Macaca fascicularis: one gene and its partner. The protein of the gene in region 1 purifies or fractionates together with the protein of each later gene. This does not show direct contact. Links are inferred from orthologs where the notes say so. Each region holds a gene or a part of one and is shown in the gene's direction. Other genes may lie near its edges.

Evidence for each region.
Region 2: the proteins of UBE4B (region 1) and UBL7 purify together in Homo sapiens (affinity purification with mass spectrometry; 3 studies listed by BioGRID and IntAct, counting the BioPlex papers as one, with this or other methods). This does not show direct contact. The link is inferred for Macaca fascicularis from reciprocal best matches to the Homo sapiens genes UBE4B and UBL7.

The regions. Positions count from the first base shown.
Region 1 is NC_088375.1:224,785,458-224,789,920, reverse strand, and holds the start of UBE4B (ubiquitin conjugation factor E4 B), read left to right. Parts: upstream 1-1,567; 5' UTR 1,568-2,284; coding exon 2,285-2,308; intron 2,309-4,463. UniProt on the Homo sapiens protein: Ubiquitin-protein ligase that probably functions as an E3 ligase in conjunction with specific E1 and E2 ligases. May also function as an E4 ligase mediating the assembly of polyubiquitin chains on substrates ubiquitinated by another E3 ubiquitin ligase.
Region 2 is NC_088381.1:51,557,894-51,560,682, reverse strand, and holds part of UBL7 (ubiquitin-like protein 7), read left to right. Parts: intron 1-536; coding exon 537-670; intron 671-930; coding exon 931-980; intron 981-1,244; coding exon 1,245-1,412; intron 1,413-1,989; coding exon 1,990-2,112; intron 2,113-2,789.

The DNA.
Region 1 (4,463 bases):
CACCCGCCTTGGCCTCCCAACGTGCTGGGATTACAGGTGTGAGCCACCGCACCCGGCCGGGGAGTGACTGTTAATGGCTTGGAGGGTTTCTTTTTCGGATGATTAAAATGTTCTGAAATCGGACAGTGAGGATGACTGAGCTGTGAACATAATAAAACCATTGTACACCTTAATTGGGTGAATTGTATAGTATGTAAATTAGATGGCAATAATAAAAAAAGTAAACTTTTAACATCAATGTCACCAGGGGTTCAAGTTCTGGCTTACACAGAATTCCTTTCCTGGAGAGCAGATAATATGCAAAGCCAGCAGTGGTTTATTTTTACTCACAAATTCCTTAAGTATCTAGTAGTCAGGTTCCTATTTTAAGCATGTAGCAAAGACATTGTAACTCTTAATTCTGGAATATAGTCTTTACGGTTTAGTGAGCCATCCAATCCACTTCTCGTCTTTAGTCCGTGGCAAAATCGGGAATTTCATGGTACTGTTACTTTGATCGCTCAACTTAGATTTATATAACATTTTTTATTTTTTGAGACGGAGTCTTGCTCTGTCGCCCAGGCTGGAGTGCAGTGGCAGATCTCGGCTCACTGCAAGCTCCGCCTCCCGGGTTCACGCCATTCTCCTGCCTCAGCCTCCCGAGTAGCTGGGACTACAGGCGCCCGCCACCTCGCCCGGCTAGTTTTTTTGTATTTTTTTAGTAGAGACGGGGTTTCACCGTGTTAGCCAGGATGGTCTCGATCTCCTGACCTTGTGATCCGCCCGTCTCGGCCTCCCAAAGTGCTGGGATTACAGGCGTAAGCCATCGCACCCGGCCAAATATTTGTATTCTTGTGCACCTGAAGATGGTTTTCACCCACTGACTCCAAACGTCTTCTTTGCATTTGCTGTGTACAATTCAGTGATTTGGGTTTCTCATCCATTTATACTTTCAACTTTTATCAATACTTTTTGAACACACTTAAAAAAACCCCCAGGAAGTATCTCTCTAAAAGGCCAAGGTAAAGTAAAATGAATGGGAGTTCTTGTGTCCGAATTCTCTTCCAACTGGCCTTTCCTGGAGGAGGTGGAAGAGTGTGTAGCAGATGTTTTAGAAAATGAGCGCTCAATAGGGTAGATCGCGCTCCCGCGGACAAGGAGACGTTTTTCGTTTTCTTATCCCTCGCTTAGGCGGCGGGCGCGCAGAATCCAGTGGGAGCAATGAGGTGTTTCTGGGCTCCCAGGTCACAGAAAAGCAGACGAGTGGGAACGACGGAGGCGCCGCGGGCCAGCGCCACCTTCTGGCGGATGTTCCCCGGCGTGCGTCCGGGAGCCGTCTCTCCCCCTGCCAGCCTACCTGGCCCAGGCCCGCGGCGCCCGCCGCCCCTGCGCGGTCGCCGTGGCAACGCCCCGCCCTGCCGCCCGCCTCCCTTTGCCCCTCCCCCCGGCCGGCGCGGCTGCGCGGGAGGGGGTGGGACGGGGGCGGGGAGAGGACGCAGGCGAGAAGAACTCCGCGGCGCGGCGCCCGCGACCTATTGGCTGCCACGTCCCGGCGCCAGAAGCCCCGCCTCCCTGACGGGGGTCACGTGATCCCTTTCAAAGATGGCCGCCCTGTTGTTTTGATGAATAATACTTGGTGGGGCGAGGGGGAAAGAGTAGGGGTGGAGGGGTAGGAGGATTTACTCTTCCAGCGAGAGCTACGCGCGTCCCATCCTCCCCCTCCCCCCTACCCGGGCTCCGGCGTGGAGGCGGGGCGTGGCCGGCCTGCTTTGGGAGGGGAGGGGCTTCCCTTACAGTGCTGGGCTCTGCCAGGACGGCTGTGGGGTCGCCTTACCTCGGGGTATCCACTCTGCAGTGGACCAGTTCCCGCCAGAGGCAAAGGGTAGGAAGGAGAGCAGGATCTGCTGTAGGAACGCAGCTACCGCGCCACTATCACGAAGACACAGCAGGCTCGGGGCACGAGACGAGCTGGAGACCGCGCTGCCTAGTCTGGGTAACCTGGGAAGCAGAGGGAAGTAAGTGGCGCCTTAAGATAACCCTGTAGCAGCAGCAGTGGCGGCCAGAGGAGGCTGCTCAGGGAACAAGCGGCTGTAGTAGTCTCTGGGGCGATTGGAGTGACCGAAGCCAAGGCAGTTCAGTGCCTCTTGTGTTCTTATTTTTTAACCTCTGACTATGCAATTCTGAAACCTCCCCCATTCGGGGGACCAGACAGCCTGATAGACACCTTCCACTCTCCTTCCTCCCGCCGTGGTCGCGAGAACAGAAGGATCTCTCCCTAACGCCTTTCACCATTAAGAGGAAAGCGATGGAGGAGCTGAGCGCTGATGAGGTGAGGAGGTTGGGGGACACCTTGAGGGATTAGTTGGCAACTCGTTAGCGCTTTGGACAGGGATGATATTGCGCCAGTGCTGTCTGGCCTTTGGGCTTGGAGAAGGAACGGAGATGATATTTTCCAAGAATAACATGACTCCCCATAGGGTCTCTGGTTTTATTCTCCTTTATTCTTTTGCCTTATTTCTTCATTCTGAACTCCATTTGCTTCTTTCCGAGTGTTCTTTTAGGGTCTGAAAAAGAGGAGAGAGCATCTTGAGGTGTTTATTCTTTTCTTCAGGGTATGCAAAGAAGAACGGCTAGATTTACATCAAGTTAAAGTGTGTTGTGTGTCGTCAGGAATTTAAAGCACGATTTTGGATGGAATGAGAATGTATGGTGGGTGAATATTTTTAAAGAAAGCATTTGAAATTCCAAATATGTGTGGTTATTTAACTGTATAAGCTGATTAAACATATCTTTTTGCTTGAGGGATGGTTTACAGACAGATTCTTTGATATTTAACAAAATATGTATCTTCTCAACAGTTAAGAGAATTCCAGTTGTATTCTAGTGACTTAATATAAGACCACTAATGACTTCTGGCATTCTTCTCTTACATTCTATCTTTTTCTACTTCTTGAATCTTTCAAACTTGTGTTTTGCTGTAGCAGAGACTGAACAGGAAGCAAGTGGTAGCAAATGAATTTGTAAACTCTCTCCTGTTATCATTTCTTGAAGGAGTTATACGATCTATTTCTTGATGTTTTAAAGATTGTTTAATAAGTTAGATTGTTGTAAAAAAAAAAAAAAAGCAGTGGCAATCAGGGTACAAGGAATTTCCTACGCTTCTACTGCCTTTTTCCTTCCTTTTTACAAATTGGGAGCTTCCCTTTCAGGACCCCTGCTGGCCATACCCTCTTCAGCCTACCTCCACATTTCTTCCACTGGTTCATCATATAAACTTCCCTACAGTATTAGGAAAGCAGTCATCCATCAGGTTGATTGTACTACAAGATTTCCATGCTCCAGTTTTGGCTACAGAGTATTTAGTGTGTTTACTTAGGGACTGAAATTCTCCAGGTGTAGGACATGGCAGTGGTGTGTTAAGGGTCAGGTAGGAAAGGAAGCAAATGATTTTGTTGATTGTGATACTTGGATACTTGGTTTGGAAAATCAGGATTGCCCATTCTGCGTTACTGACGTTGTGTTTTTATAAATACATCAGAAATGTAATCTTAAGAGAATATTACACAGTTTCTTTCATTCGGTAGGAAATATCAAGAGATCTCCTAAGAATCACTTTGTTTTATGTGGTTTAAGTTTCTCCACCCTTCCCCGTTTTTCATTAATGTTAATTCTAGTGAGTAATTTCTCTTAAAGCCGAGATGCTGTTTTTTGTTTTTTGTTTGTTTGAGACTCAGTCTTGCTGTCGCCCAGGCTGGAGTGCAGTGGCGCCATCTCAGCTCACTGCAAGCTCCGCCTCCCAGGTTTACGCCGTTCTCCTGCCTCAGCCTCCCTAGTAGCTGGGACTGCAGGCGCCCGCCACCACGCCAGGCTAATTTTTTGTATTTTTTTGTATTTTTAGTAGAGACGGGGTTTCACCGTGTTAGCCAGGATGGTCTCGATCTCCTGACCTCGTGATCCGTCTGCCTCGGCCTCCCAAAGTCCTGGGATTACAGGTGTCAGCCACCGCGATGGGCCAGAGATACTGTTTTTTAGTAGTACTTTACTCCCAGAAATTACTTTTTTTTTTTGATGATCTGTTTAGAGGCTTTGCACACTTGAGTTTTCACCAAGAAATTTTTTTCAAACCAGCGAGGCGTTACAGACCATGAATATACTGTATAATCTAAAATGTGTCTCTTCACTTTGCTCAGTCCTTGAGGAAGGTGTAACTTTTTTTGTGACCATATAAGGAACACATGAAACCTTTGTGGAAGAAATAGAAGAAACTTTTTTTCAAGGTTAGCAGAATATTCAAACAAATGAGAAAAATTAAATTCACTAATACAGGATCAATGTAAAATTATCTTCAACAAATTAGTTGTCCTGAACACAAAAAGCTGATTCAATAACTGCTAATTTTACTCACAGCAGAACCTGGAACAAATAATAATTCTTTGTTTTTAATTTTAAAAATTTTTATTGTTTTTTGTAGAGACAGGGGTCTT
Region 2 (2,789 bases), on another chromosome or scaffold:
GGATTCTGAGGGAAAGGATCTTGCCTGCCAGGCTCAGTTTAGGTTTCATTTGGTAGAAATTAGGGAGCTTTCCAAGGATTTTAAACTGGTGAAAGGAGAAGCAGGTGTACAGATCCATAAAGTGTCAAAGCTGGAAAGGACATGTCCTCATTTTGCAAGTGAAGAAAACAGCCCCACCCTGGGAAGAGAAGGGACCTGTCCAGGGTTGCCTGATGTAGTAGTGGTGCCTAGACCAGAGGCTCCTCATGTGCTCAGGCCAGAACCCTGAGCCTCCCAGGCTGCACCTTTCCCATCATGCCTTGCCTATGGAGAGGGTGAAGAATCTGCAGTGGACCCAGGAATTGAAGGCCTTGCTCCCGTTGCTGGGGGCAGATCAGCAGGAGGATAAATCTTCCTGGCGGAAGATGCTGAAGACCGAGGAATTTGAGGGCAGGCACAGGTGGCTGCATTGTTGTGAGAGGGCACCCAGAACTCTTGTCATGGTCGAGGGTGCTCTTTTGGAGTCACCCTTGGGTTTCTTCCTGCTTCTGTCCTAGGTTGGTGCCTGCTCACCCAGCCCTCGTCAATGCCATTGTCCTGGTTCTGCACTCGGTAGCAGGCAGTGCCCCAATGCCAGGGACTGACTCCTCTTCCCGGAGCATGCCCTCCAGCTCATACCGGGATATGCCAGGTGAGCCCCTGAATAGTGTAATATGGGCCCCTTAGGAGCCGGCAGTGGCCCAGGAATTTGCTTTACTCAGCAGCTATGTATAGCGTTGGCAGAGGGCGTTCCTTGGGAACTCTCGGTTTGAGTCAGGAAGTGCATCTGTCCTGTAATTTTCCGAGGGGAGAGATGAAAATATGAATTTGGAGAGTAACTTGAGCTGAGATTCTGGAGCTGCGCCTGTGCCTTTCTGTTCTTCCTCCTGAAATCTGTTCGTCCTCCTCCAGGTGGCTTCCTGTTTGAAGGGCTCTCGGATGATGAGGACGACTTTCACCCAGTAAGTGGACTGCCTGCCTGCCTGCCATTTGGGGTAGATGGTGCTGGGAATGAGCTGCATCCTGGGACCTGGCACTCCCAAGGCTGGGAGGTGGACACAGGCCACTGAGGGGCCAAGACCATGTCATACTATTTCTGCTTTGGGATTCCTTTCTGAACCTGCGAGCTTAAGAGTTTCCCCAAGAACTATTCCTGGAGGTGGGTGAAGTTCATCTGGGAGTTTCATAGTACTGCTTGCCTGATTCTGAGTGTCTTCTTTCTCTAGAACACCAGGTCCACACCCTCTAGCAGTACCCCCAGCTCCCGCCCAGCCTCCCTGGGGTACAGTGGAGCTGCTGGGCCCCGGCCCATCACCCAGAGTGAGCTGGCCACCGCCCTGGCCCTGGCCAGCACTCCGGAGAGCAGCTCTCACACACCGACTCCTGGCACCCAGGTATGAAGACAGGGCCTGGAAGATCAAGGCTGGGTCCCCAAGGAACAAGCTCCCCAGCAGTAGAATAGATTTGCCTTTGCTGACCCTGGTGCTAGATCTAGTTTAAGCTGAACCCTGGACTCCTGGTGGGGATTTCTTACTGCAGCTTGAGTGACCTCCCCTTCACTTGCCTTGAGGACTCAGAGGTCTAGATTTTAACATGGTCCTGAGTAGTCCCTCCTATTAGTTCAGAAGACTCTCCCCTCACACAATATGCCCTTCCTCATCCCTGACAGGGAGCAGACACCACCAGCTTAAGCATTTCTGGGTGAAAAGTCACTTCAGCTTTCAAGGCCATCTCTCCCAGTGCTGGGGTCCTAGGGTGGGACAAGGCACTCAGTGCAGAAAAGAATGGAACCTTTCCTGCCCACATAGAGAGCTTCTAGGTACCTTTGTTTGGTTGTCTCATGGCAGGTCTTTGTTGGGAGGCAGAAGTTGGGTACCTCAGGAGCACTATGGGGTGATATGACAACAGCAAGTATCTGCTATAAGATTGAGATGGCTCTGAGGGTGGCACTGACCACTGATTTGTCTCTAGGGCCATTCCTCAGGGACCTCACCAATGTCCTCTGGTGTCCAGTCAGGGACGCCCATCACCAATGATCTCTTCAGCCAAGCCCTACAGCATGCCCTTCAGGCCTCTGGGCAGCCCAGCCTTCAGGTCAGTCTTCCCCACTTCCTGGTTTCCATGTGGCTTCCTTGTTATTTTGGATGCCCAGCCTTTTTTTGCTCTCTGGGGGTCCTTCACACCTGGCATGCTTCGTTCTGGGAATAGCTGGAGCATGGCAGTGGGACAGGTACAGAGTGTTCCCAGCAAGGGCACACTCTCAGACCATTCACAGTGGTCACTATGGCTTCTCCTGCCCCTACTGACCATGACTTGACTCCCTAGACCACCTGGCTTAGATAATCATGGCGATTTCATTCATTCATTCAGTGAGCATTGACTGAGCATATATATACTAGGCCGGAGTCCAGATGCTGGGCTAGAGGCAAGCTGGTTCTCATCCCTGCCATGGAGGGGCACCAGGCAGGTACTGAGCTGGGGAGCAACAAGGCAAGAAGCCCAGCTCCTTGAAGTAAGGGTCAGGCAAAACTTTTCTGAGGGAGGGGTATTTAAGCTGATTGTCAGAAGAATTAGAAGTTAGCTAACCAGGGAGGGGGTGTTTGAGGTAGGAAGGGGATGATTTCCAGGTGAAGACAGCTACCTGTTTGTGCACGTGTGGAGGTATGTGTGATGTACTCAAAACTACGAGGCTAGGATGCAGTGTCCAGTGTAGAAGATCCGCAGATGGGGCCAGAGAAAGAGAGCAGGAACCTACATGTGAGGGGCTTGAA